7 separate regions of the Mus musculus genome follow, and regions 1, 3, 4, 5, 6 and 7 are each reported to be linked to region 2. Evidence: microRNA targets listed by miRTarBase, many of them from high-throughput screens and not tested one by one. Region 2 holds a microRNA gene; each other region holds the end of a gene's coding sequence.
What was found. Region 2 holds the annotated microRNA mmu-miR-466f-3p (CAUACACACACACAUACACAC, at 2,408-2,428, opposite strand). A microRNA usually pairs through its seed, bases 2 to 8, with sites in the 3' UTR of a target mRNA and lowers its output. Matches are read on the target gene's strand: a 7mer-m8 pairs with bases 2 to 8, a 7mer-A1 pairs with bases 2 to 7 and ends in A, and an 8mer does both.

Region 1: the mRNA of Tcf4 is a reported target of mmu-miR-466f-3p. Seed matches in the 3' UTR shown: 7mer-m8 at 1,317-1,323 and 7mer-m8 at 1,035-1,041.
Region 3: the mRNA of Taok3 is a reported target of mmu-miR-466f-3p. Seed matches in the 3' UTR shown: 8mer at 1,446-1,453 and 7mer-m8 at 1,686-1,692.
Region 4: miRTarBase lists Cavin3 as a target of mmu-miR-466f-3p. The part of its 3' UTR that is shown has no 7-base or 8-base seed match.
Region 5: miRTarBase lists Hif1an as a target of mmu-miR-466f-3p. Seed matches in the 3' UTR shown: 8mer at 3,183-3,190.
Region 6: miRTarBase lists Pcgf2 as a target of mmu-miR-466f-3p. Seed matches in the 3' UTR shown: 7mer-m8 at 3,388-3,394 and 7mer-m8 at 3,378-3,384.
Region 7: the mRNA of Tcf7l2 is a reported target of mmu-miR-466f-3p. Seed matches in the 3' UTR shown: 8mer at 2,398-2,405.

What each region holds. Positions count from the first base shown.
Region 1 is chr18:69,682,200-69,686,387 of GRCm38, reverse strand. Tcf4 (transcription factor 4) reads right to left here. Exons shown (of 20, transcript NM_013685.2): 19 at 3,565-3,705; 20 at 1-3,311. The coding sequence ends at 3,569. Among named protein-coding and RNA genes, the nearest start is that of Gm31439, 30 kb to the right of the region's middle.
Region 2 is chr2:10,470,233-10,474,434 of GRCm38, reverse strand. Mir466f-3 (microRNA 466f-3) reads right to left here and starts at 2,482; the gene lies at 2,389-2,482. The region is part of intron 10 of Sfmbt2 (Scm-like with four mbt domains 2); the gene reads right to left. It overlaps Mir669d-2 (microRNA 669d-2), which reads right to left and starts at 2,791; the gene lies at 2,706-2,791. Mir297a-2 (microRNA 297a-2) reads right to left here and starts at 2,181; the gene lies at 2,092-2,181. It also overlaps Mir466o, Mir467c, Mir466b-1 and Mir669a-3.
Region 3 is chr5:117,273,378-117,277,601 of GRCm38, forward strand. It overlaps Taok3 (TAO kinase 3), which reads left to right. Exons shown (of 21, transcript NM_001199685.1): 21 at 296-1,724. The coding sequence ends at 457. Among named protein-coding and RNA genes, the nearest start is that of Pebp1, 12 kb to the right of the region's middle.
Region 4 is chr7:105,477,427-105,481,426 of GRCm38, forward strand. Cavin3 (caveolae associated 3) reads right to left here. Exons shown (of 2, transcript NM_028444.1): 2 at 3,190-3,793. The coding sequence ends at 3,395. Among named protein-coding and RNA genes, the nearest start is that of Cavin3, 2.8 kb to the right of the region's middle.
Region 5 is chr19:44,570,504-44,574,691 of GRCm38, reverse strand. It overlaps Hif1an (hypoxia-inducible factor 1, alpha subunit inhibitor), which reads right to left. Exons shown (of 8, transcript NM_176958.3): 8 at 1-3,578. The coding sequence ends at 3,534. Among named protein-coding and RNA genes, the nearest start is that of Hif1an, 9.7 kb to the right of the region's middle.
Region 6 is chr11:97,686,345-97,690,541 of GRCm38, forward strand. Pcgf2 (polycomb group ring finger 2) reads right to left here. Exons shown (of 10, transcript NM_001163308.1): 10 at 2,479-4,014. The coding sequence ends at 3,643. It overlaps Cisd3 (CDGSH iron sulfur domain 3), which reads left to right. Exons shown (of 3, transcript NM_001085500.3): 2 at 157-276; 3 at 1,924-2,281. The coding sequence ends at 2,103. Among named protein-coding and RNA genes, the nearest start is that of Cisd3, 2.5 kb to the left of the region's middle.
Region 7 is chr19:55,930,888-55,935,109 of GRCm38, reverse strand. It overlaps Tcf7l2 (transcription factor 7 like 2, T cell specific, HMG box), which reads right to left. Exons shown (of 15, transcript NM_001331146.1): 15 at 1,455-3,676. The coding sequence ends at 3,253. Among named protein-coding and RNA genes, the nearest start is that of Gm52391, 5.1 kb to the left of the region's middle.

The DNA of each region.
Region 1 (4,188 bases), not on the chromosome of region 2:
GCCTCACCGCCTTCGTGTATGTCTAGTATAGGATGAACACTTATGAAATGTTTGTGTAGTATTTTAATCCTGACTTCTGCTAAGTTTCTTTCAAAAATCCAGTGCAGGAATACCAATATCTTACCTGGGTTTGATAATTACAAAATAACAACAAGGAAAACAAAACAAAACAAAACAAAACAAAACCAACACGTTAAAACGGCCACATTTCCTTTCTCCTTCTTTTTAAAACTGGAGATACACCTGATTACTACAAAGAGGGTCAGATCAGGTTTCCGCACCAAGCAGAAAGTAGCCAGCAGCTGCTGCTGGCCTTTGGGGAGTCTTTTGCTTATTTCCAAAAGGAATTTGACAATAGCCATATTACATTACCAAGTAATGAATACATCAAAGCTGGTGAGAACATGAAATTGCAGCTTTTTCTCTGTCCGAGTGAGAACAAAATATAAAAGCACCAATTGAAAAAAAAAATCTCAAATGATTTAATTTAAAAATTTAATTTTTTGCTTTGTTTACAGAGTTGAAAAACTTTGATTCTGCTTTAGTAAGCACCTTTATGATAACATGTATCAAAAGTGCCACTCTGAAGATATCCATCAATGCGGGGAGGATTTCCAGTTCCCTAAAGAGTAAACACCATATTCTTTTCTATACGCTTCTCCTGAATGTGATCGGACGATACCTGTTTCCTATATAATAATATTGTTCCTAGGGATACCCGCCTTGGCAGACTATACAAAATGAGTGCAGAATGTATCACGGAAAGAAAATCTTTAACATGGTGAGAGACCACGTACACATGTTTTCCATCGTTCAGGGAGGAGGGGAAGTTACTGTCTTTCTTCTTTGCCCTTCTTGGAGCACCTTTGTGCCACCGCATCACAGCAAAGTCCCCGAAGAACTTTTTATGAGATTTGATTCCTGCTATTCCCCTACATTTTCAATCCACCTCCACATTTTAGGAACTTCTCAACAAATCAAAGCATTTTAGTTTTATCGCTACTGAACATATTTACAATTTTCAACACACACACATACACACACACACACACACACACACACGCGCAAGAGCACACACGCACACACATGCACACAGCTAATCAAAATGTTCATGGGTTTGTAAAAGGTGACCACGTGGTAACTATCTTATTTGTTCTTACATTTTCAGAAATGAACATAAATTTCAGATTCTTGTAGCTCACTATTTCATTTAAATGACTTTTTAAAACCACACAGTTTAAAAAAAAACAAAAAACTGATACAATGTATTAAAACACATAATAACAAGAGTCTACATGTAAAAATATAACTTTTACATACACAGTTTCAAAATAATGATAGGTTTGCCATTGGTTGCATAAAATTTACAGATGTGTTTCGTCACTATGTAACTGGTAGTTCAGGACAACAAATGGGGTATTTAGACCATTTCCGCGGAGTTATGGCATTTACTCAGTGCTGATAGGTGGAAAAACTACTTCAACAGGGATTTTTTTTTTCCTTAATACATGCCAAGATTGTGTGGCTGTCAAAACAGAACCGAGTTAGAGACAAAAGGATGCTGACAAATGCTTACGTAGGAGTCCTATGTGTTCACTGCACTACACACCAAAGTCCATTGTTGGAAAGACTTACGATGGGAATTGGTTCAATTGTGCCCAGAGTCAACGCTAGCTATCTGATGAGTTGCTGTGCCGTAGTTTGATCTATGTTTCTATCAAATGTTAAGTATAAACTTCACTCATACTGGCCAGAGAGAATACTGCGTTACCCCTCCTCACAAAAGTGCAACTTAATGCTTTAGGGCTTATAAGGCTTGTTATAATGCTGCATGATTGGTTGGCATTTTTTTTTTTTTTCAGACGAAGGAGGAGGCAGGTAAGTCATCTACTTTTTAGTAAACCCATTTTGAAAAAAAAATCAAGAAAGCAACAAAAATCAATCAGCTCTGTCACACTCCTTGCAATTTTCTCATTTGACGGTTTTTGAACTTGACTTTCTTTTTTAGTTTTTTTTTCTTTTTTTCTTTTTTTTTTTTTTTTTTAATTTTTGTATTTTTTCCAAAAAAAATCTGACCATGTATTCAGAAACGTCTCGGTCACTGCACACTACTTCGGCTACACAGGTAGGTAACACTTGAATCGTTTTTTTTGTTAAATCACAGCCACTTTGATTATGTTATGTTTCCGATGATATAAACATTGGAAGGCACAGTGGTAACATTGTAGCATTCTAACCGTGTACCTCTGAAAATCCCAGGGGAGGGTAACAAGGGCAGCGCCACAAGCCAGACAAACGCTTTTTGCCTCGCCCGGGCAATGCTGCATGTAATTCCTACACATGATGTGACTTTTAAGTCCTGTGTTCCCAAAAGACTGGAGAAACAACTTTTTACTATTTGTGAATGAGAAGCAACTTCAGGGTCAGCATTTCGTCCTGCACTGCCCCTCCGGAAGCAGAGTTGGCACTACAGGTTACGATAACAAACCGGGGGAAGGGACAAAAATCAGACAAAAAAAAAAATCCATATTTACAGTAAAATCTTTCTTTTAAAAAAGTTAATCAGTACTATTTTTTTACAGGAGAAAAAAGTCTGAAACAAATCAACAAAAGCTTACCATAGTCACTAAATTTTTAATATATATTTATATATATATTTATATATATATTTGTCATAGGTCTATAACATCCATCTGTCCCTCCTACCCTAAGGAATGGCTAATGTCATCACTTCGTTGCCATCAGGACGTTTGCTGGTTTTGTTACGAGGGCAGCCGGGCTTCCCCTATTCAATATCCGGTAATTAGAAACACTAGCTGACGTGAATACCAACAAAAACGTTCATGTCGTTTTCTTCAGAAGTACACTTTTTCATTATTGCAAGTTTACAATTTTTTTTTAAATTAAATATTTTTTTCAGACTTACAAATTAATTATATTTTTTTTTTCCAAAAGAAGTTTAGGCACAAATGCATTGCTCCACAGTGTGGGAGGATTGCCATTCAGTCTCTGGGCTGTGTCTCAGCCTGTACATACCGCTTCGCACATTCAGAGTGATATGTTAAAGAAGTCGTCCCTCAAGTTGCATTTTTTTCTTTCTTTCTTTCTTTCATTCATTTTTTTGTTTGTTTTTCTGTTTTTTGATAATTGGGAATGCTGAAACCTCTTGCGTCTGCGATTCATAACTACTCAGACTTGTCTTATATTACAAAAAAAAACGGGGTTAAGGAGCAGTGTTTATGTGGGTTTAGGGTAATACAGCTGTTAAGGAAGTGGTCTCTTGTTTAATGAAGCAAGGTAGCAACTTGGACCTGAAAAAAGAAAAGGAGAAAAAAACAATTAATATAGTGATAGAAAATTTTTTTATTATGATTTTTTAAAGTGTCCCCCCCCCCCTTTTAAGAACTAAAAATAATTGGTTAATCTGGGGAAAACCTGTTGTTTGTGGCTCATGTGCCACAGGGAACTATGGGGTAGCAGCGGAACTGTGGGGTAGCAGCGGAACTGTGGGGTAGCAGCGGAACTGTGGGGTAGCAGCAATGGCGGAAAGCTCACCCAGCGTACCTTTTCACATCTGTCCCATGTGATTCGCTGCGTCTCCCATCCCAGGGTGTGGGCCAGCCAAGGAGAGTGGGGGAGGCTCTGAGGACACCTTCTCTTCCTCCCTTCTTTTCAGACAGGCAGCTTTCGGGTTCAGATTCCTTTCTGTGGAACATGAAAGCACAAGTCATCCCATCACCCATCAGCACGGGACTCCACAGAGGGTCGAGGAGCGCTTCTCTGCGCATGCCCGACTTTCAGACTCCATTTCACGTGACAGGACGAGGGAAGAAGTTAGGGAAGGTGTGCTACCCGGTGGCCCATCTCAATGGCCATTAACTGCATGCAGAATCTACCACTTTACAGTATACAGGAAGGTATAACGGCTTAGGCCTGACATCCCTGCACTTGAGGGTCTGCGTCAGGAACATTGCAAACGTAAGGTCAGTCTGTGCTATAGAGTTCTGGGCTAGACTGAGCTACACTGCAAAAGCCTTCATCAAAATGAGAACAACAGTTCTAAACAACAGGCCAGGAAGATAGGATGGCGCATTAGGAGTGATTACTGTGAACGCATTGAGGACCCGGGTTCAGTTACTAAGCACCCACAGAAAAAAAGTCAGGGGTGGCGTCAAGCTTGCAGTACAG
Region 2 (4,202 bases):
AATCACAGGCTGATCTCTCATGAGGATAAGTATGAATTTGAACTCCTGATACTCTTAACTCTAGCAAGCATTTTCACTCTAAGTCACTTATCACTCAAATGGATTGATGAGTGCCATTCCCATGTGTCTGTGTGCTCATATGTGTCTTATGTGTGCGTGTATGTATATGTATATCATATTCACACATGTACATGTACACACACATCAACACATACACACATTCATAGGGGCAATCACATGAATGCCAGGATGACCTCTAACTCATCATGCCTTTACCATGAACTTGCACTCCTGATCTTCCCGACTCTACCAAGGGTTTTCCCGTGGTTTGTGAGACCTCACCCTGGCCCAGTCATACATAACCTCCAAAGCAGTAGGTCACATATCATTCAAATGGATCCGTGAGGGCCATTCTCGCATGTCTGTGTGCATGTGTGTATAGGTGTGTGTATGTATATGCATAAAATATACACACATATACATGCACGCACTTATGCACAAAGGCACATGCATAGGGGCCATCACATTATTCCAGGATGATCTCTAACTGCTCATGAAGTTAAGCATGAATTTGCACTCCTGAGACTCCTAACTCTGGCAAGCAGTTTTCATCTGGTAAGTGAGATGTTTTGCTATCCCATGAATATACACTCAATGAAACTCTAAGCATGCATAAATCAAATGGATGACTACCATGTGTGTTTGTGTGCACATGTATGTGTCCATATGTGTGTGTATATGTGTATGTATGTATGTATATATATATATATATATACACATATATATATATATATATATATGCATGTTCATATACCCACATTTACATGCACACGTACCTATACACATATACACATACACGGGGACAATCACAGAAATTCCAGGCTGTTCTCTAACTCATCATGAAGTTAAACATGAATTTGAACTCCATATTCTCCTCCCTCTGGCAACAATATTCACCTCCTAACTGAGACATAGTTCTGGCCATTCCTGTGAGTATGTGTGCATACAGCTATGTGCATATTCATGTAGAGAAGTGAATATGCACACAGCTATACACACATGCACATTCTTGGAGGGCATCACATGAATCGCATGCTGATCTCTACTCATCATGAATTAAATATGATTTTGAACTCCTCATCCTCCTGACTCTGGCAAGAGTACTCACCTCCTAACTGAGCCATAGCTCTGGCCCAGTACTGCATAAGCTCTAAAGCTCTAAGTCACATACCATTCAAAAGGATATATGAGTGGCATTCCTGTGCGTGCATGCGTGTATATGCATATTCATATAGAGAAGTGAATATGCACACAACTATACACACATGCACATTCTTGATGGACATCACATGAGTCGCATGCTGAACTCTAACTCATCATGAAGTTAAACATGAATTTGTACTCCAGGACCACCTGACTCTGGCAAGGGATTTCACCTGCTGAGTGAGACCTCTCCCTATTCAGTACTGCAGAATCTTAAAACTCTTAGTCACACGTCATTCAAATGGATCGATGAGTTGCATTCATGTTTGTGTGTCTGTGTACATGTCTATGCGTGTGTAGATATGTATATTCATATACACAATCCACACACAGGTACACGCATGTACACATACATGGGGGCATCACATGAATCCCAGGCAGATTTCTAAGTCATCATGAAATAAAGCATGAATTTGACCTCCTGACCTCCTGATTCTAACAAGCATTTTTAATATGATGGGTGATAACTCTCCCTGACCTAGTCACACATAATCTCCAAAGCTCTCAGTCACATAGATTGATGAGTGAGTGCCATTCCTGTGTGTCTATGTGCTCATATGTGTCTTATGTGTGCATGTATGTATATCATATTCACACATGTACATGTACACACACATCAACACATACACACATACATAGGGGCAATCACATGAATGCCAGGATGACCTCTAACTCATCATGCCTTTACCATGACCTTGAACTCCTGATTATCTTGACTCTGGCAAGGGTCTTTACTTGGTGAGTGAATCCTCTCCCTGGCCCAGTCATACAGAATCTCTAAGACTCTAAGACACATATCATTCAAATAGATCGATGAGTGGCAGTTTTGGGTTTGTGTGCATGCTTGTATGGGTATGTGCGTATGTATATGTATACTCATATACACACATGCACATGCACACATACATATACACACAGGCACATACACTGGGGGCATCACATGAATCAGAAGCTGATCCCGGACTCAACATGAAGTTGAGAATGAATTTCGACTCCTGATCCTCCTGACTCTGGCAAGATTTCCACCTTGTGAGTGAGAGCACTCACTGGCCCAGTACTACATAATCTCTAAAACTCTAAGTCACATATCATTCAAATGAATAAATGAGTGTCGTGTGTGTGTGTGTGTGTGTGTGTTGCGTGCGTGTGTATGTGTGTGTGTATGTATACATATATTCATATACACACATGCACATGCACACACACGTAAACACACATGCACATACATGAGGGGCATAACATGAATGTCTGGATGATCACTAACTGAAATTGAGCATGAATATGAACTCCTGATCCTCCTGACTCTGTCAACAACTTTCACCTGGTGAGTGAGACCGTTCATTGACACACTACTGCATAATCTATAAGACTCTAAGTCACATATCATTCAAATGGATCAATGAGTGCCATTCCTGTGTTTATGTTTATGTTTTTGTGTTTCCGTGCATGCGTGTGTATATGGGTGTGTATGTATATGTATATTCATATAGACACATATACATGCACACACAAGTATACACACATGCACATATATAGGGGGCATCACATGAATCCAGGATGATCTCTTACTCCTCATGAAGTTAAGCATGATTTTCAACTCCTATACCTCCTGACTCTAACAAGGGTTTTCACCAGGTGTGTGAGAATTGACACTGGCCCTGTCATACATAATCTCCAAAGGTCTAAGTCACATATCATTAAAATGCATCGATGAGTACCATTCCTACATGTATGTTTGCATGTGTGTGTATATGTGTGTATGTATATGTATATTCACATAAACACATGTACATGCATACACTTCTGCACACATGCACATAAACGGGGGACATCACATGAATCCCAGACTGATTGCTACCTCATCATGAATTTAATATGAATTTGAACTCCTCATCCTCCTGACTCTGGCAAGAGTACTTAACCTCCTAACTGAGACATAGCTCTTGATCAGTACTGCATAAGCTCTAAAGTTCTAAGTCACATACCATTCAAAAGGATATATGAGTGCCATTCCTGTGTGTGCTTGCGTGTATGTGCATATTCATATAGAGAAGTGAATATGCACACAGCTATACACACATGCACATTCTTGTTGGGCATCACATGAATCGCATGATGAACTCTAACTCATCATGAAGTTAAACATGAATTTGAACTCCAGATCCTCCAGACTCTGGCAAGCGTTTCACCTCCTAACTGAGACATAGCTCTGGATCACTACCGCATAAGCGCTAAAGCTCTATGGCACATATCATTTCAAAGGATATATGAGTGGCATTACTGTGTGTGCATGTGTGTATATGCATATTCATATAGAGAAGTGAATATGCACACAACTCTAACACATGCACATTCTTGGTGTGCATCACATCAATTGCATACTGATCTCTAAATCGTTGTGAAATTAAGCATGAATTTGAACTCCTGATCCTCCTGACTCTGGCAAGTGTTTCACCTAGTGAGTGAGACTTCTCCTTGACCCATTTATACATAGCTCTAAAACATTAAGTTACATATCATTCAAATGGATAGATGAGTATCAATTTTGAGTTTGTGTGTGTGTGTGTGTATTTGTGTGTGTCTCTGTGTGTGTGCATGTTGTGTTGGTTAGTTTATATGTGTATATTTATATGCATATATTAACATGCACACATACATATATGCACACATGCACATACATAAGAAACATCCCAGTCTGATTTCTATCTCTTCATGAAGTAAATTTTGTATTTGAACTCTCTCTTCACCTGACTCTGGCAAGTGTTTTTACCTTATGAGTGAGACTATTACTGACCCAGTACTACATAATATTTAAAGCTCTAAATTATATATCATACAAATGGATCAATGAGTGCCATTCATGTGTGTGTGTGTCCATGCATGCATGTATGTTTGTGTGTATGTATATGTATATTCATATACACATATACACATGAACA
Region 3 (4,224 bases), not on the chromosome of region 2:
GGCGAATACGGACTGAGGAGGACAGCAGTGTGGCTCTCAGGGCTCCATGCACTTGCATACGCGCGCAGGCGTGTGTGTGTGTGTGTGTGTGTGTGTGTGTGTGGGGTGTGGTGTGTGGTGTGTGTGGTGTGTGTGTGTGTGGTGTGTGTGTGGTGTGTGTGTGTGTGTGTGTGTGTGTGTGTGTGTGTGTGTGTGTGTGTGTGTGTGTGTGTGGTGTGTGTAGGGGGTGGAGGGGGGATTCCTCGTGGCTGTGGGCCGGGCATCAGCACTGAGAGCCACTTGTGTGCTTGTGCAGATTGAAGAGGAGCTGGCTGCCCTGCAGAAGGAACGCAGTGAGAGGATCAAGACTCTCCTGGAGAGACAAGAGCGAGAGACCGAGACTTTTGACATGGAGAGCCTCAGAATGGGCTTTGGGAATTTGGTGACATTAGATTTTCCTAAGGAGGACTATAGATGAGATTAAATTTTTTTGCCATTTACAAAAAAAAAATGAAAAAAAGAAAACAAAAAAATTCAGACCCTGCGAAACTACATTCCCCATCTTAACGGGCGCTGCTCTCTCTCTCTCTCTCTCTCTCTCTCTCTCTCTCTCTCTTTCTTTCTCTCTTCCTCCCTCTCTCTCCTCCCCCTTATCTCCCTCCCTCTCTCTGCCCCTCTCTCTCCCTCCCTGCCTCCTCCCTCTCTCTACCCCTCCCTCTCTCTCTCCCCTCACCTCTCTCTCTCCCTCTCTCTCTCTCCCTGACACCGTGTCGCACTAGTGCCTGTTGATTCTTACTCCATCAGGGGCCCTTTCCTCCCCCCCATGTCAACTTTCAGTGCTGGCCGAGACCCGGCCGCCCCTGCCGTCCACCACCTGCATTGCGGTGCCGGCGACGACGCGGTTCCGGATGTCCTGCTGAAAACCTTGGAGGTGGTTTTAGGGTCTGTCAACCAACAAACGGCGATGGAACACAGATGGATGTTGCTTTGAGCAATCCCTCGTTGTCACCAACCAGTGAAAGTAAAGCAAAAAAAAGAGAAAATACCTAAAGAAACCTAAATAAACAATACATGCCAAGGGGGAGAGAGACACAAAATCCGCAGCCTTACACCTTAACCAGCTGCTGCATAACTTTATTTTATTTTATTTTTTTGGTATTTATTCATCAGGAATTAAAAAAAAAACAAAGTTTTATTAAAGATTGAAAATTTGATACATTTTACAGGAACTAATTGTGATGTACATACGAAGTGGTAACATATTATTACTATTTTGGGGCCGGGGTGGGTGGGAGGGGTGAAGAGATCTTGTGGTTTTTAAGAACCTGCCGGCAAGAGTTTGCCTTGCCGTCAGCCTGGTCTACTGTATCCCAGCATCCTCTGCGGTTGCAGATGGTGCGAGGACACTTAAAGGAGCTCACAGAATCCCAGTAGCACAAAATTGGGCTTTGGCAAATCATGTATTTTGTGTATAGAGGGAATCTAAGGAGAGGAATTGCTTATTTTCATATTGTATTTTAACTGTTTCTCTGATCAGAATTTTTTTACTTCCTCCTCCTGTTCCTCCCCTGCCCCCCACGCCCACTCCCCACTCCAGTCTCTGGAGTTCAATGTCTTCTCTGCCAATCATCTCTGTTTATTTCTCCTTCCCTTCCCCACGCCCCCTATCTGTGGTCATAAATATTGCATTATCCATCCTTTCAAACTGTGTATTTTCTTACAATAAAAAATGATGACGAGAAAAAGGCTCCGCTCCTTTTGCATGCACTTAAAAAAAGAAAACATTTTTCAGGTCCCAAGGAAGAGCATGATTAACTGTCAGGGCTTTTAATTATATTTGTAAATAAAAGTGTTCGTCACATCGCCTGGCTGTGTTCTTGTAGCAGGATTTCCCTTCCAGGTCCCTCTGGGGATGACTCTGGGGGCTGGCTGGGCCCTCCTGGATCCCTGCTCAGGGCCTTGGCTGCTGCTCCTCCCAGAAGGATGCTGAGGGAAAAGCCCAGTCTTCCAGTTTCTTCTCCTGGACCGAGATGGAGGAGCGCTGTTTGATGTGCTCCGAGAGACGGGCCCAGCCTGGGTGCCCCTAGCCGTAGAAGCAGGAGCCACACACACCCTGCAGAGGCTCCCGTGGTCTCAGGCAAGAGGACTGGAGCCCACGAAGGAAAGCAGGCCATGGAAGAAGCATGGGCCACTCCCACTGGAAGCTGTCCTGGGATAGCCCAGACTCCATCCCTTCCTGGTTCCTCTCACTGGAAGTAACTATAGAGAAAAATTGCACTTCCGGGATATGGTTTTAGGGTCAGGACAATCTCATACCTGTAACCTTAGCTCTGCCAGCCAGGCATATTGAAAATTGGATCTTGCTTTTTTTTTTTTTTTTTTTTTTGTCATTATTGTCTCTTTCTTTTTCTCTCCTTCTTTCTTCTCTGGGTTTTGTTTTCCTTCCCCTCTGCCCCGCTCCCCAGAACTCACAATATAGACCAGGCTAGCCTCCAACTCACAGAAATTCTTCTACCTCCACCCCACCCCAACCTCCCCCAAAGGACTGGGATTAAAGGCCGGTGTCCGTCACACCTAGCGCAGTTTTGTGTTTTCCTACTGACCTGAGAGCTGGGCCGCTTCGACCTGCTTAGCCAGGCTGAGGTCACATGAAGTCATGCTAATAAGTAAGCTCTCTGTCACTGAGTGGGCCCCAGCCCCCATCACTGCTTTTTGAATTCGGACCTGAGGACCATCCTTGGATCCTGTGGAAGGGTGAGTTACCAAATACAAACGTAACCCGTCGGTCTCACTGTGACAAACTGACGACATACTAAATCCAACTACGATAAAATTACAAGTAGTTATTACCGTGGGTTAACTCCTCCATAGAGCCTATGGTAACAGCCGCCCAACCTCCCAGGCCACTGAGCCCCTTTATCTCTTTGGTCAGCATATTGAAAGTAACATTGGAGGAGCCAGGAGTGGTGGCACAGAGCCTTTAATCCCAGAGCTAGGGAGAACGAGATCTCGGTGAGTTCGAAGCCAGCCTGGTCTACAGAGAAACCCTGTTTCGAAAAACCAAAGAAACCAACTGTGATAGGGATGCTAAACTATTAGCTCTCCACAACTGACAGCTTCTGGGGAGAGGGGGATGTGGCATGGGAAGTACTCAGTTACATTTAAGGGGGGGTGGAGGTCACAAGGGTGAAGTGACTGACACGGACGGACTGGGACGTGAATGTGATCGGGGTGCATTATGTGAAATTCCCAGAGAATCAATAAAAATATTACCTTGAAGAAAAAGAATTTATTCTAAACCCAGGCAGTGGTGGTACACACCTCTAATTTCAGCACTCGGGAGATGGCAGAGGCAGAGGCAGGAGGCAGGAGGCAGGAGGCAGGAGGCAGAGGCAGAGGCAGAGGCAGAGGCAGAGGCAGAGGCAGAGGCAGAGGCAGAGGCAGGCAGATCTCTGAGTTTGAGGCCAGCCTGGTCTACAGCGTGAGTTCCAAGACAGCCAGGGCTACACTGAGAAACCCTGTCTTGAAAGAAAAAAAAAAAAAATCTTTAAACCCATGAGGCAATAGATACCATGTATATAATCCCCTTCTCCTCAGCCTCTCTGTGAGGGGTGTAAGGGGGAGCTAGCTGCTGGGAGGATGGGATGTGTGTCCTGCACCAAAGGCCTGGCACAGTCTCCCACACCTTTGTGTAGTTGTGTGGGAAGGGAACTGGGATGGCCTAGAGAGACAGCAGAAGTACCTGTGAGTGCAGGAGCACGGCTCTGGGCCCCACCCCCAGCACCGCAAAAATAATCAGAGAACAACACAGCCAGCATCCTCCTTCCTGGCATATAGTAAATACCCCTGGGTTTAAAAAATGATTATAAAAACAGGTTTATGGACTGGCAGGATAGCCTGATGGGTAACAGTGCTTGCTGCCAAGTCCAAGTTCAAACCCTGGAGCCCACATGATAAAAGGCAAAAACCCACTCCTGCAAATTGTCCTCTGACCTCTCCACAGGCGCCCTGGCATGTGCGTGCGCATGTGCACACACAAAAGAAATGATTTTTTAAAACGTGTTTGTCAGGCATATAGCTAAGGCATAGCTGGTAATCCTTGATCTGTAATTATGGAGGCTATTTACTGAGTGCCTGCCATGTCTCTCCGAGATGCCTGAGGGGTGTCAATGTGCCTCAGACAGGAGGATGTTAGCAGTCAAATGGAGACGATCTCAGGACTGGAAGAAACCCCGAGACTAGTGA
Region 4 (4,000 bases), not on the chromosome of region 2:
CATCTATAACCTCATTAGCAATTACTGTAACTGTGACAATTGAGAACATAATGTAACCAAGTGGCCTATTAAGAAACAGAGCTAATTTTGTTTTCATTTGATTCAATTATTTGCTACTGTAGACCAATTAGGAAAAAATGAAAACTAACATTCTACCTTCTTGGAAGTTCGCCAAGTCTTTGGGTTTCTAGAAATTTCTGGAAATTAAGAACCTAGACCTTTTGGGTACAAAATATTCTTCTAAGGCCTTCCTTTTGTTTTGAGTTAAAAGAGAGAAGTCAGGTGGATTCCTAGGGATTTGAAAAGTCGAGGCTTTATTTTTCCTGTCCCTGTGAGTGGCAGATTTCTGAAAGTAAAGGCAGCAACCTGGTGTGGTGTGGTGTGGTGTGGTGTGGTGTGGTGTGGTGTGGTGTGGTGTGAATGCTAAGGTTTGGGAGCCTGCAGGAGGAGCCTCCAATTTCCCCCTGTGCCCCAGACCAACAAAGTCAAGTGAATCAACTGTTCCCTTTCTGGAAAGTCAAACCAAGCTGACAGAGTTGTGGAATGTTGGATGAAGCAGCAGCTAGGACACTGGTACCCCAATAGTGACACCATGTGGTCAGAAGGAGCACCAGCAGCACAAAAACAATGAGTGGAACTTCCTCCAGTGCAGTTGTCAGTCTGGCAGAGTGGGGTGAGGTAGCAACCACAACCACGACCAGGTCATAGAGCATTGAGGACTGAGCAAGTAGTGCTCTGGACCCTGAAACAGGTGTGCCTTGCTGAGTTTTCTAGGAGATGAGATTTAGATCACGTAGCTCAACACGACAACATAGTTTCAGTACAATGAGAGCTCTTGGGGCTGGACCCTGAGCCCACATGCTTGTGTTTTCATGCAGTTCATAAGCATAGCTTGAAGGGAATTTCTGTATAAAACATTTGGTGCAACAGCATTCCCATAGTGACCTGTCACATGAGGTGAGGTGTGATCTCCCACTTGTGACATCATTTCAGTGCTCGGAGTTTTTAACCAGAGACCGTCTTGCGTGAGGACACCCAGCAAGAGACAGAAGGAACCAACTCACAAGAGGTCTTCAGGGACAGTGGGAAGCTTTAGCTCTATTGTGAAGGTGATAAGAGACAATAAGGGGGTGAATCGGGAGACTGGCAGGATATGGCAGGCAGTCTAACCCTGGTCCCGTGAAAGACTGCCTAAAAGGGCTACAGATAAGAATGTGAACGGGGAGTCAAGTCCATGATCATTGCTTCCTTGTGTGAGGGAGCGACAGAATCGTTTATCCAACCAGAAAGCTTAACTTTAATTCTGAATCATACTCAGCAGGGCCTGCCACATAGTAGGCACTCAATAGATGACTGTTGGTTTTGAATGGAGCTTATTCAAAAGCTATAAAAGAATATAGGAGCTGGAGAGATGGTTCAGCAGTTAAGGACATCCATTGCTCTTGCAGAGGACCTGGGTTCAGTTCCTAGCTCACAACTATCTGTCACTCAGTTCCAGAAGTCCCAGTGCTCTCTTCTGGCTTCTGTGGGCATTAGGCATACATGTGGTGCACATACATACATGCAGGCAGAACACAGAAAATAAACCTAAAAAGAATGTTTTAAATTAGAAAATAAAGGGCCAAGGATGGCCCCAGGGGTAGGAATGTGTGTGTGCATAAACCTGGTGATCCGAGTTCAGTTCCCACAGCGGGAAAAGAGAGCAACCAGGAAAAGTTGTCCTATAACCTCCACACATATGCAGAGATACAATGCTTCTGTTTGTTTGTTTAATATGATAAAAAACAAACTTCCAGAGTCACTGGGCAACTTCTGTCCCTTAAGTGACATAAGAGAGCAGGTTGTCTCCCAATCACATGCACGTCTTCTGTGTGTGCCATCTGGCCCAGAAGTACCCACTGGTGTCTCAGCCATTCCTCAGATCTAGTCACAGCACCCATAGCAGCTCCACCAGATGTGTGGGCCAGCTGCTATCTGTACACCCGTAGTAAGACATCATGAGCAACCAGCTGTGCTTCTGCCCTACCTGGCCAAGGAGTGAGAAGCTTGGCCGACTTCAAGCAGCTGGGCTTACACGCAGACCCCTTTCCTAAGAAGGTAGTAGCTAATCCATCACACACACACACACACACACACACACACACACACCGTGCCCACTGGTATTTATGATGACTGCGCTTGTGCTGGATATGGGAGTGCCCACATAAATGGTGGTGAACATCAAACATTCCAGAATATTTGAAAGTCCATGAGACTGACATGACATGTCCCCTCAACGGGGAATTAACACTGCAGTTTCTCTATTATGCATCAAGTGGGAAATTAATTCTGCATGCTATACTAACTACTGAGAAGATTGGTTTTTAAATTTTTAAAATGGGTGCCGGCTTTTGGCCTGAAATGAGGCAGATTGTGGCAGCAGGCATAGCATCCATCTGTCTGCTTTCTCCAACTAAGTCTAACCTCCTTCTTTTCTCTGTCTCCCAATAAGACTGACATACTATGGATAAATCAAGGGCATACTCCATTGATTAGATCACAAGCCATTCTAACACACACACACACACATACACACACACAGAAAGCTAGCAAGCTCCCAACAATGAGCCTTCAGGGAACCTTTCAGATTCAAACCCTAACAAGATCTAAAAAACATGGAGGTCCTATTTTTTTTTTATTTTATGCATTGACATGAAGACACAGTCAGTTCGTCACACTCATTGTGAGAGATGCTCGATTCTAGGAGGCCTGGATTCTCTCAACCTATCAGATTACTCATTTGGTTTTGAAAACAATGAGTGCTTTGTGTGCTTTGTTTTGTTTTGTTGGCAGAAGGAAAGTAGACCAAGGGCTGTTTTTGGATTGCTTTCTAAATGCACCCCAACCCAATGGTGTGAGCTGTCTGTGAGTGTCAGACACCAGAAGTAGGAAGAGTGCATTAGCTGACATTAACTAGGGCGTTTTCTTCAAAGAACTGCATACTGCCCCGCCCCAGGCCGGGCCCCAAAGTTGTACTTATGTGTCCCCAAGAGGAATGTATTTAAGCAGTAAGTGGCCAATATTTCTCCGTGCCAATGGAGGACCCAGGATTCGGTGAAAAGTGAGAACGTTTGTCATTCAGCCCATTCCTTCCCCAAGCCATGCGCATTGTCGCTCGCCCTTTCTCATTGAGTCTGGGTTAGAGAAAATTGCTTTTATTGGTGGTGAACCTAAATTAGGCTGAAAGCTCCTCTGTCAGAGGACACAGGGTTCAGACTGGAAAGCCAGGAAGGAAGCTTTGGAGCTGGGCAGTGGATGCAGGATTCTCTCCTTATTTGGATGTAAGTGCTGCACTCTATAAGTACTTATTTTGGGACAAGGCTTAAGCACCGAATGGGACAGGCAGCCCCAGGGATCAGGCTGCGCTCTCTATTTGAAGCACGGGTTTCTCAGGATCTTCCTTGGTAGGTTGAGGAGGTTCTGGCTCCAGGGCAGTCTCGAGCTCGGACTCCATTTCAGGCTGAGCTGCAGGCTGGCCTTCTGATGGGCCTTCAGAGCTCCGGACAGGCCCTACGCGTGGCGGCTTGACTGGTGTGGGCTGTGCTGCTTTACGACTGGAAAGAGCCCTTTTCAGGCTTTGAACTTTCTGTAAACCAGTGCGGCGCAGCCGCTGAGCCCTGGACTCCACTGGCTCCTCTTCAGAACTCTCTCCAACTTCATCCTCTGGCTGATCTGGGCCCAGCACCAACTGGTCCTCCGGACCCAAGAGCTCTGGGACTTTCTGGAAGGCGCGGGCTGGAATTTCAGTCTCCTCCTAAATGTGATGACACAGCTTTTGATTCTCTGATTTGACCCTGGCACTTAGCCAGGACCAGCCTGAAACTCTCTTGCCCGCCCGCCAAGGGAAGCTACTCCACCCTTTGCATCTGCACTAGGAATTGGGGCCAAAATAGAGGAATGGGAAGATGGGGGATGGGGAGGATGGAGGAGCAGAGAGATGAGCAAAGAGGGGGAAAGTGGA
Region 5 (4,188 bases), not on the chromosome of region 2:
ACTGAGCCAGGAACCTCAGTGTTCCCCACAGCAATGGCTCGCTGATCCAGAGTAAGACAACGCTGCTGAGAGGCCGAGTCTCCTCCCAGACAGCCTGTGCTGGACCAGCTCTTCCTCACACCCCTCCTTGCACATACCTAGGCTCTGCTACTCTTCATACGGTTTCCTTTCCAACTTCCACCAGTGTCTGGGGTTTGATGAAGCTCAGGCTTCCCACACAAGCTCAAGTGCTTCGAAGTGACAGATCCCTGTCACAGGTGGGGCGCAACAGTGCTGACTACTACAGAGATCCTTCCTGTAACTGAGCACACGCAGTAACCAGCCTACCTACCTTCAACTGCGAGGGCTCAGGCAGAAAGATGTCTGTTTGCAAACCCACCTCAAGCTGGGCCTGGACTCCAGTCTATGAAGGCATACAAACTCCACCCACACTTGTGGGAACTCCAAAAGGGTACCTGGCCCACAAGATTCTGGGGTCAGAAATAGGGAGTGTCTCCCCATACTAGGTTGGCCCAATAGTAAGGAGCCTTCCCCTCTCTGTCTCCTAACAGATTCAGATTAATGATGGCTCATTCCTAATTGTCAAATTTCTTTTCCTTCATCCTGTGTCTAATCACCAGTGACAGAAACCATTACGCAAATGAGAGCAGACGACTTCCCCCAACTGTTCGCGTTGGTAAAAACCTTGTAATTTAGAGCTCTGATTTGTAGGGGAAGCTGGTCTCCCCCAGGCATCCTGGGCATCTGCTCAACTGATGCCCAGAACAGCCCCTCCTCCACCCCATAACTCTAACCCCCCAGCAAATATTTGACTTCACAAAACAGTAGTTTTCACTGTACTGCTGGTATAAACACGAGAGCCTGCAAGATGGCTGACCCCTGGACAAGCCCAGGTCTCCACCTTCCTTGGCACGTCTGACTCCCAGGCTGTTGGCTAGAATGGGTACACAATAGTGATGCCTGCTCTGCTGCAAGTACAACTGGAGCCTCAACAGCCCTAGGGTTGAGACCCTAGCCTAGGTGAGTCCCTGCTTGCCATCCCCAGGAGGAAGTGGCCCAGCAGAATATGAATCGGGTTACCAGAGCTTCCTCTCAGCATGCAGAGGTGTGGTGAGAGGAGCTACAGGACCTACAGCACCCCTTTCCCCCGCAGGGCCGAAGCTCACTCTTCTGCTTCTTCCCAGAACCCTTAGCTTGTTAAGATGGCTTTCTAGGCAGCTTTTCCATGTCTCTAGCTGAACCCCCAAAGCCTTTCACCCTTCCACACCCTCTTGCCTGAGTCTACCTGCACACTCTCTAGGGAACAAGGCTTGAGGTGAGGTAGAGAACCAACAGCATTTGGAAGAAATGGAGGAGCAGGGAGTAGTGGGTTTATAGCTAAATGGCATTAGGTTTGCTCTTGACTACCACGCAGCACTGTGAGGGACAGAGCTAGAAACAACAGGTACACATCAGGTGTCTAAGACCAGGAACAGCCATGACATCATCCCAGCATCAGGGCCAATCCTGTGATGGTGCCTAAGCTCACCTTCTCTCTCGCTGCCCTCAGCCACCCTAGGTCAGACCTGTGAGAGCAGAGTTATACTGAAGGGTCAACCGAGCAGATCCAGACTCCCTGCCACACATCCCAGACACCTTTGAGGGCAGAGCCAGGACCATAGATCTGCGGAGAATGAAAATCCGCCACGGTGGCCAAACTAATACCACTCTGCCTCCCTCTTCTGCTGCATCCCTCGTTCCCAAAAGAGATGGAGGCATGCGTTTGCCGCGATCACACTGCCCAGCACGGGCTGTATTTAAAGAGCCATACTCAAGAAGGTACCAAGTCTGCGCAACCACACTGCAGAGCCCAGAGTGGGGGCTAGAGCTCCCGCCCCTAAACGCACACGGGTGCACAAGCATTCGCCTGCATCTGTTCAGTCCATGGGGCGCTGTAAGCTGAGCTTCAGGGCTAAGACCCACAGCTTGAACACGGGAGGTCAAATCTACAGGGAAGGGGACTAAAAGGTGGCAAAGAAAAGAATAAAATCAGACTTCCAACTCCAATTTTAGAGAAAAAAGGTTGACAGAGAAGGAAGGGACTTGAGGTAAGTGGACACGGGGCCACCACTCTGCCAAGCTGCTGGGGCCCCATTCCCTCTTAACAGATACAAATGATTGCGCTCTGTGTTGTGTAACACAGAGCTATAAGCTGCAGCCCCGAGGAGGGCTCCCATAAACAGCTACCAACAGAAAAGTAAATTCTATCTCCAAGCTCTCCCAGCTCTACTCCAGCTCACATGCGACGCTTTGTTGGGTCTGGCAGAGGCGCTGGCTCTAAGAGGCAAGAGGACATTTTTTTTCCCCTTGCCCTGAGGTGGATGAAAGGTATTGAGTTAGCTGCCTAAGTCTGACCCCATTTCATCTACTCAGCCAGGAAGCTCAGCAGGAGCAGGGATGTGGTTCAGACAGGGAAAGACACAGGACTGGGAGGCTTGAGCCAGTCAGCTTTAGGTAGGCTGCAGTAAGATCTGACCAAGACGGGATGGCTAAAATCCGAGTGTAAAAGCTCTAGGCTGAGTCAGGCAGTATCTGGGGTTCACGCTGTACTGCCACACTGGACAATGTTAGCAGTTGAGAACCTTAGTAAGCAAGAAGGATGGCAAGTGTGATCACACATGCATACAAGTGTGCAGATGTGTACACACACATGCAGAGGTTCATACCCCTCGAGCCCAAAAAAGTCAGAGCTAGAATCCCTCATTGCAGCACAGGGACAGGAGCTGGTACTGAAGAGAACGGCTGCAAATGCCTGTATTTGGACATATGCACAATCCTGGTTTCAGGTCCCCAAGTTTTCCTTCTATGTATGGCTTAAGCATGTAGTTCTCAACTGGAATCTTATCTAATCCTCTTCCACTAGAAGGCTACCTCCCAAAGATAAGCCTCCTTCTCAATGTCCCCATTAGGGCCCCAGCAGTTATTGCCACCTGGTTTGTAGCCTGACTATGCTGCAAAAACTGGCAGAAGGCAGACTCATGTGCAGAGTCATTCTGGCACCACAGCCCAGATGTTGTAGGGACACAGGAGCATCTCTCCTCCCAGGCTGAGGCACTGAGGCTTCAGGAGACAGGAGCTGAGAGCCAGAAGTGACATCCTGACCCAGGAAGAGGGAACAAGGAACAGATACATGCATGTGTGTGTATACACACATGCATATGCACACATGTACACACACACACACACCCTGAGGTTAACAGACTAACACAGACATGATTACAACCAGAAGCTGGGACTCCACACACTAAATGCAGGACTTCAGGGGGGCAGAGGGAAGGTTCTGGGGCTCAAGAGGCAAGGGTGAGAAACCTTTCCAAATGGGAGTGGAGTCAACTACCCTGCCTTGCCTCAGACACCTGCCTCCAGGGCCATGGCAAGAGTCCAGTCCATTAAGTGCAGCGTGCAATACTAGTGCTTGGAGTGTCCTGTCCTCATCAACGAAGCATGTGGACAGGATAGCAGTCACCTGACAGGAGGCCTTGACCTCTGGCAGGTTAGTTGTAACGGCCTTTAATCATGGTGTTCAACAAAGGCCCCACCTGTAAAGAGATATGAGAAGCCAATCAGAACTGCCTATCTCCCGATCCTGGCGTAGGACTGGGTGTACCTAGAGACATGCAATTTTCAGCTAAGGGCAGGGACAAATGCTCTTCAGTTCTTGTAAGTTTTCTAATCAACTTTCCTGAATGTCAACTTAATATTCTATGACAGTGACCCTTTGGAGGTCCAGTTTCTTTTCCTCCCCTTTTATAATACCCCGTGTATCTGTAAGCAGCACCCATCAAACAGGAAATGGTCTGAGGAGCCAATAACCTCCAAACACCGAAAAGTGTGTCTGCGGGCTTCTCCAATGAGCCTGAAGAATCTTAAATGCTTCTCCATCCTCAACAAAAGGCCACCTGCAGTTAGTGCTAGTGCTCTCAACCCCACAGGCACCTCTGATGCTGAGACGAACCACAGGCAGGAGGTAAGGCAAGTAAAATGCACACCTCCCTCTTTTACCAATGGACCGTAATGTACCTGGGGATGAAGCAGGACTCAGCACTACCTAGAGCAGCCCTGGCCCAGCTGGGAGAGCACGGGGAGATCCTTACTACACACTTCCCGTTCCGTAAGAATCCGCTCAGGGGTCCCCAGATGGCACACACG
Region 6 (4,197 bases), not on the chromosome of region 2:
GGGCAGAAGGCAAGGAACCAGGTCTCCCACTGAGGGGAGGACAGCCACCTGATTTCAAGCCCCAGAGTTTGAAGAAGAGTTACAGAACCCCCCGCCAACTAAAAGTATATCCAAGACTTGGGATCATCCCGAGTCACTCATCCACCCTGATCATAGGCCCGATGGTTCCCCAAAGACCCAGCCAAGCCAGTGGTGGCACAGAAGACACCCATCAGATTGGAGCTGGTTGCCGGGAAAACCTACAGGTGGTGTGTATGTGGCCGAAGCAAGAATCAGGTGAGTTACTCCTGTAGCTTTTCCTTTAGATGTGACACAGCCTGATCTCTGACGCTAACGGTTAGGCCTGGCAGTGTGACACGCAAACATCCATCTCCTCCTCTCCACGTGCTTGGGGTCAGCATGGTCTATCCTGGGGACTTTCAGTCCGTCCACATTTCCCTTCTTTCTGTATATAGGTGAGATACATACAATTGGGGGATGGGGCTCGATGGCAGGAACCAGCTCACAGGTCAGGGACACCACTATCAGGATGGCCATTGTCAGTGTATGTCCATGTCCCTCCCCAGGAGCCTAGGAGGTACAGAAGGGCCACAGCTCTGTGGCTGACTCAGTCTCCTCGAAGGCTGCCCGCCCTGCTCCTTCCAAGCAGCCCATGTGCCAGGCCTTGGTCCTCACAGCTGGGAGGATTCTGTTCAGTCTTCCCTGATGTCCCCTCCCAGGTCTCTTTTCACCTTGGATGTGACTTTTCCTGCTTGCCTGCTGCCATCCGATGCCATCCCAGCTGTACAGGAGCCCTTCACTGTAGCCGGAGCTTCTCCCTTTCATTCTGGAGAACTCTGTCCTGTTTCCCATGCTGTGGTTGAGACCATAAATCCAGCTCTGGAGGCTTCCTTTGTGGCCTTTGAACAGATATTCCAGAGGGTGGGGCAGTTTCAAGGGCATGCCAGCCAGAGGATTGTGGGTACATGCCCATGCCCTTTAGGCAGGGTGCTGGTTTTCTAGTTTTCACTAGTTCATCTCTCCGCACACTCTGCCCCTGACAAGGCCTCTCCCCTCCTTGGGCCTCTGTCTTCACCATCCTTTGAAGGGTTCTCCTGTGAGATGTGGTGCTCACATTCATAGTGGTACTCTAGGCAGGCTGTTGTAGACACCCCCTTGCTTACAGGCAAGACTGACCCCACCCTACAAAGGCACTGCGCACTGGGCTCTCTCCCTCCCTGAGGAACATTGCAAAGAATGTTGCTTTCATGGGCCAATGGGGACTCAACCTCACCTAGCCGTTAAAAAAGAAAACCAAAACAAACAAAAACTGAGGTGAGGCTATGAACCTAACCCAGTGGATAGACCCTTTGTCTGCAGTGTGTGGAAGCCCTGGAATCTATCCATCCCCAACACGCAATAAACAGGGTGTAGCGACATACATCCATTGTCCTAGCCCTTGGAAGGTAGAGGCAGGATTGGTGTTCAAGGTCTGGGTTACATGAGAACCTGGCTGGGAAGTGCTCAGTGGATAAAGTTACTTGCTGACCTGTGTGATCCCCAGAGCCCACATGGTGAAAGGAGAAAACCATGCCCCCACAAGTTGTTGTGTGACTTCGTGTGTGTGTGTGTGTGTGTGTGTGTCTGGGGGTAGTAGCATTGCCTCTACTTGAGGCCCAGTTCTTGCAAATTGTGTGTGTGTGTGTGTGTCTGTGTGTGTGTGTGTCTTGGGGTAGTAGCATTGCCTCTACTTGAGGCCCAGTTCTTGCAAATTGTCCTGGTCTCTGGATCTCCCAAAGGTGACCAATGAGAAATGCTTGCAACATTATACAGAGACAGTATTCTCTTCATGACAGCCTTTCTGTGACCCCCACATTGCAGGGCTCGGGGAAACGAGAATGCTCCACTCCCCACCCTAACCTTTTTCTGTCTCTCTCTCACCAGCCCTTCTGTGATGGCTCCCACTTCTTCCAGCGTACTGGCCTTTCTCCACTCAAGTTCAAGGCCCAAGAGACACGCACAGTGGCCCTATGTACCTGCAAGGCCACTCAGCGGCCCCCTTACTGTGACGGTACCCACAAGAGTGAGCAGGTACAGAAAGCAGAAGTAGGTTCCCCACTCTGAGGGGGTACTGTGACTCCAGGCAGTAATGCTGAGCCACACATGGAAGGGAACCTCCAAGGACCCCATCTTGTTAGCAATTGTACCCTGAAAAACCTGTATTCTCCTGTTGGGCAGCTGAGAGCCAGGTCCAGCATCCGGTAAAGCTGTCAATAAACACTGAGGCCTGCCCTCTAACTAACTGTTTCTGTGGTCACTGGCAAGGCTCATGGGTCTTCTGCTAGAGTATGATCTGTGGAGGCGGAGGGTGTCTGGTGACCAAAGCAGGGTAGTTCAGATCCACTCCAGTTAGCACTGTAAGGTTGGGGAGCATACCACCGTCCTCACCGTCCTCCTCCTCTTCCTCCCCCTCCCTCTGTCCCAAAGAACCACAGGCTTGAGAGTGTACACAGCATTTATTACAAAGCCAAGAGATATAAATGACCTAGGACAGGAGGGTACAGTCACAGGACCTCAGACTCAGGACGTGGTGCAAACAGACCCATGGGCTCAGAACCTCACACACTAAGCCAACACCCTGTCCTCTTTCCCCCCCACCCTCCCCCCAAATCTATGTACACTTGAGGAAGAGCAGGCGAGAGCAAGGTCTGCCCCTAATAGGTGGTCCACCAGGTAGAGTTGGGGTCAGCTCATTCTTTTATTTTCTTGTGCTTCTAGATGCCTCTGTCCTATCCCTGCCTGGCCTCAGCTGGGGGGTGAGGCAGTGGACTGGAGGGCTGTTGGCTTTTGGCAGAACTGGAGTCTGTGCTTGTCTGGGGCCACCCTCTACTCTAGGCCCCCAGTGAGTGTCACCTCCAGTCTTGCTAGATTGCGTTCTTGGGTTGGGGTAGGACAGGAGAAAATGAAGTGTTCACCATGCCAAAGTCACATATAGACTTTATAGGGCCAGGTCTCCCACAGGAGGGTAGGGATGGAGGGTTGGGGGGGGGGCTTCCACTGTCTGAGGAGGTGAGGGAAATGCCTTCTTCACAGCCACTTGGTCCTCACTGCCAGAGGACACAGACTGCATTTGTGAAAGGCACTGACTGTCTCAGCAACTCTGAACATTCAACAACGGGGGGGTGGGGGTGGGGGTTTGGACAGGTATGGGGAACAGCCAAGATGGACCCACTAGTCAGCTAGGGCTAGGGGACCCAACACGCCCTCTGCCCTGGAAAGCAGAAGGGACATAGGGAAGGACATTAATACTTCCAATGGCCCCTTAAGACCACCAGATACACCCCCCAAGAAGAGCAGAGTGAACTACAAAGACCCCCTAGACCTAGACACCCCCACCCATACACACACATACACACACACACACACACACACACGAGTTTCCTGTGGCATTTAAATTAATCTGGTTGGTCCATAGAAAATAAGTATGTATATTTGGTTTTTCCTATGTACATATATATATTTATATATATATAGATTTATTTATAAAACCCACCTCCCACTCTGAAAATGGGAGGAACCAGGGAAAGTCAAAAGTGGAAAAGGGGGCCCAGAAAAAGTAAAAAGGAGGGAAAAGATGGCTGCGGAAGGAGAGGGTCCCTTTCCTCAAGGGGGGCAAGGAGCGCCATTAACAGTCATCTTGCGCCCCCTGCTGGTGGAGGATGGCGTTTGCAGGCAGTTCGAAGTGCCCCCATTGGTAGCTGTGGTGGTCCCAGCGGCAGTTGAAGGTGGAGTGGGGGAAGTAGGATGGGTAGCTGGGGGGCCGTGGGAGCTGGGAGAGCCATGGGATGGGGTCGCAGGGCTGGGCAAGGAGGAGGAGGTGGCCGGAAGGGTGGCAGGGCTGGGAGCCTTGTCGCTGACTGACTCACACTCTGATGCCCCGCTGGTGTTGGTGCCTTCTGAGGGGGTTGGCACCGTGGGCAGGGTGAGCCGCTTGCAGGCTGGCTGGACACGGTACTTGAGGGGGAGAGGCCCATTCTGTGGTGAGAAGGAAGAGGCCAGCAGTAAGAAAAGAGAGTGTCAGAACAAAGACGGACCAGGGGTGACCCTATCCCTATACCCAACCAAGGTTCAAACCAGGAGCAAAGGGAAGGTCTGAGCCCTGCAGAGTGAAGAGACAGAGACCCAGTGAAGAAAGAGTGTGGGGTTGGGCGGAGACCA
Region 7 (4,222 bases), not on the chromosome of region 2:
GTGGAAGTGGTTAGGGAGCTACAGGGAGGGGACTGGGGGGCTCCAAGAGCACAGAGGAAAAGCATCACAGGTTCTGGCCACGGGAGAGTGCTCTCTGGAGGGAGACCAGAGGTTTGAGGAGGAGCTCCCAGCAAGAACAGCAATGCTTTGGGGGAACTCTTGAGAGCTGGATTTCCTGAGAGCGAGCAGGTGATCAAGGTTGACGTAGGCTGAGGCAGAGGCAGAGGCAAGTAAGGCCTGTCCTATCCTATCCACCAGAGAAGAGCCATCTCTAACATGGGAAGGCTTAACTTGATGTTGAGAACATGGCTCGAAGCCAGGTCTCCACTGAAGTCCCTCCAATTCCCCCTTCTACCAACTATGGCCTTGGACAAGATTACATTGTATTTCTCAATCCATTGTTATAAATAAAGCTAATGCCAGCAGGGGTGACTTCTTTCAGTGGTGGTAGGATTAATGAGAAAATGCACGGGGACAGCTTGGCACACAGCCACCAGAAGCACAGTGCTCTTATTTCTATTCTCAAAGGTCAGTCTGGGGCCTGTGTACAGAATACAGTAGGGAAGGCTGATCAGAAATACTCTTACAACGTACAAAGCACAACAAAACAAAATACAGAAAGTACACAGACCCACAGCTAGCCCAAGCGAGGCAGAGCTCTGGAAAGTTCTTGACCCAACATCATAGTAATCTTAAGTGACAGTCACACAAAGGGTTCTGGGATGCGTAAAATGTCTACCCTCAGAAGGCGCAGCTGTCCTAGACATGTGGACAATAAAAATTCCATCCAATGGACATTGAGAAGAGACACCCAATGACCACAGGAAGATCTTCACTGCGACCCTCCTCAGTGATAGGGATAAACTTGAAGTTATTCCAGTAGATAACCTGTAGCATAGGTCTCCAGAACAGCAGGACCCTTCTAATGCAGAGCTCTGTGAATCCTCTCCCCTCCATGCACAGCTGTGAGTCCCCTCCCCTCCATGCACACAGCTCAGTGAGTGGGATGCCAGTTTTCTGAAAAGCTGCTCGCTCAGTGATTGCTAGATACATCCCTGCCTTCTTCCCACAGGGAATGTCTAGAGAACAGTCAGGGCATACTCACACTCACCATCCTTAAGTGGTACCCACTCAGTTCTTTAAATCCACTCAGGGTGAACTAAATCAGTTTTTAAAATCAAATTCTGTCTCACACTGCACAACAGGCTGTATGAGTGAGAAATGGCCAGGCAAGCAGTGTCTGTTCAGTTATTGTGACACAGTGGGGTATAAAGAAGACACCCTAGGGTCCCTTTGTACACAGGACACTTCACCACAATGAAACACCCACCACTACATGCTACCCACACCACCTCAAGCCCTAACCTGGAAGGGAATGCACCCCTCCAGAGAAAGTCCAGTGTCCGGTAAGACACTCCCACCCCCAAGTCACAGAAGCAAGCGGCCAGCCTTTCTGCACATACTAAGTTGCTTTTATTAATCCAGAACGGCAGGCATGCTACAGGTACTGTACAGCATGGACATTTAATTCATTACAAAATGGCTTCAAAACCATTCAAAAAAATGAACTTGGAATAAGCATCGAACAGAACAGCAACACCACAACTGTTAGGGAGACATTCAAAGTATTCACAAAAAAAAAAAAAGAAAAGAAAATGTTATAGTTAGCATTTTAATAAACCAGAGAAAACCGGAGACAGTTTTACAATCGCTTCATGTCAACTACGATGGCACTGAAGGAACAGGTCTCAGCTTTATACAGCATTTTACAACATCGGCATGCCTAGGTTTTCTTGTTTTTAAAGGTCACTACCTACTTGTATGTAATATGCATACATAAAAGCGGCAGCTGGGGTTTTTTTTTTTCTTTTTTTCTTTTTCATTTAAGAGTAATCTAATATACAGGATTTTTTTTGGCCCTTAAGGGTTTAGACCTCTTCATTTAAAATGCTTTCTGGACAGTCTGCTACCAAACACATTTTGTTATAGGTGACATTAAAACTACATACAAATCTATCTATGTAACATCACAGCAAAACATGGCGAACAGAAAGTACAGCATCAAAAAGGAGGGAGAAAGCTAAAGTCACTGAGAATTTTGGCACATAAAAGTTTTGCACACGGTCAGTCCATGTTCTAAGAGCACAGGGCAGTTGACTAGGAGGTCAAGGGGGAAACGGGGCAGTTCCCACGGCTGCTCAGACGGCTGCTCAGACCCTCTCGCTAATGTTCAAGTCTTGTTTTACAGAATGGCTTTTAAAGCAAGTTTTGTTAATGCTACTGATCCTTAATGCGAATGTCAATGTCCATTTGGTGGCATCTGGGTTTTATACAGAAACAAACAAACGAACGAACGAACGTACGCCAAAAAAAAAAAAAAAAGGAAACAAAAAAATATATACACATTTTATATATAAACTTAAAAACCTTGTACAAATGAGTTGTTATATATAAGATGCTTACGCTAAGGTTGGGGGGGACTTTACACAGTTTCAAAAAAAAGGGAAAACATATTTAAAATTGGACGGACATACAGGTACAGCAAGCAACCTCTAAAGCAATAAATACTACTGGTCCAACAGTGTTGATTCCATTCATTGTTGAGTGGTGTCCCCTCCCCCCCAAAAGAACAACACCATGGAACAAGGTATATTAACACATTTTAACCCTTTGTTTCTGTACATTTAAACAATAACAAGTAACATCAAGGTAAAAGTTGTTTCACACTGGGAGGAAAAAAAAAAGAAAGAAAAAAAGAAAGAAAGAAACGGCACTGCATTCCTTGTGCCCTCGTGGTTTAAATACCAAGGTGTAAAGTGATTGGTTCGCAAGCTCGTATTTAATACAAATAACACAGAACCAACTCCTTCTGGAGGGTGCTTCAAAATTGCTTCTCTCTCTTTTTTTTCTTTTTGTTTTTTAAATCAGTCTTTTAAAACTAAGCTATCCGAACTACATAACAGTTATGTATATATAATATATTTTTTAAACGCTACAAAGACTTTAAACAGCTGTTGATAAAAATTTTGGTAGAATCATGAGGTTTTTCTCATCTACATATTTAAAAGGAGAAATTGAAATAAGAATGGGTCAAATATTGACCAATGAACTCCATAAACATTAACTCATGTAGCCACGGCGGCACAAAATTAAAGAGTACAAAACAAAAGCTTTCCAAGCGGGGAAGGGCGAACCAAGAACCAGAAGGAAACACTTCAATCAAGCAGGGGCATGGAGGACGAGGAGGCGGAGCTATTCTAAAGACTTGGTCACCAGAGACAGAGGCTGGGGTTGCGTTCCAGCCAGCGAGTTGTGGGAATGTAAGGAAGAAGTTGATGGTTGTGCGAGCGATGAGGAAGGGACCATGGACGGCTGCAGAGCGGCAGGTGGCAGGTCCAGAGCCCCATTGGGACAGAGGGCAGAGGCCTTGCCGTGGGCAGCTTCGGCCAACAGGAGCGCGGGTGGCGGAGGCATCATGGACAGGTGGGCCAGAGGATCAGGCTTCAGGGACAGCGAGAGCGGCTGGGTCTGCTCAGTCTGTGACTTGGCGTCTTGGGGAGGGGAGCCTAGCAGATGCGGTGAGGGGGGAGGCGAGTCTAGTAAGCTTCCATCTGAAGAGGGTGGGCTGAGGCAGCTGCCTTCACCTTGTATGTAGCGAACGCACTTTTTTTTTCTCCTAGAAACAGGGGGAGAGAGTTGTCTGTGAATAAAGGGCAAAGACGCCAGGGGAGAGAGTTATCTAATGCTCACGGCAAGTTGATGTCACCTAAGGGATGTCCCCCTGCAAGTCATGGCCCGAGGTCACGGAGCAATTAAAAGCAGTGACTTCGGTGGGCTGTGAGGCTCCCAGGTCCACTCTGATTTGCCTAGCTACACCCTCCCTCCCATCACAGGACCAGCCCAGGGCCTCATTGAGCAGACTGATGGAAGTGACCTGCAGAGAGTGGTACACATTCACTGGGAAGTGGGCTTGTCTATATGACGACTAACACAGTTTATCTCCCTCTGGGCTTAGATTCTCTTCCTTTTCCCATCACATCTTGCCCGCCCTCCCAATGATCCACCCCAACCCCTCGGTCCCCAGTGATGCCTCAGTGTATTTAAAAGAAAAACAGCTCCTTCCCCAGTGGCCTCTTATCAATATGAAACCCTCAGAATGCTGACTGTTGAGCCCATATAGCTGAAGGCAGCGTAGAAAGAGGCTTAAAGGTTTTAACACACC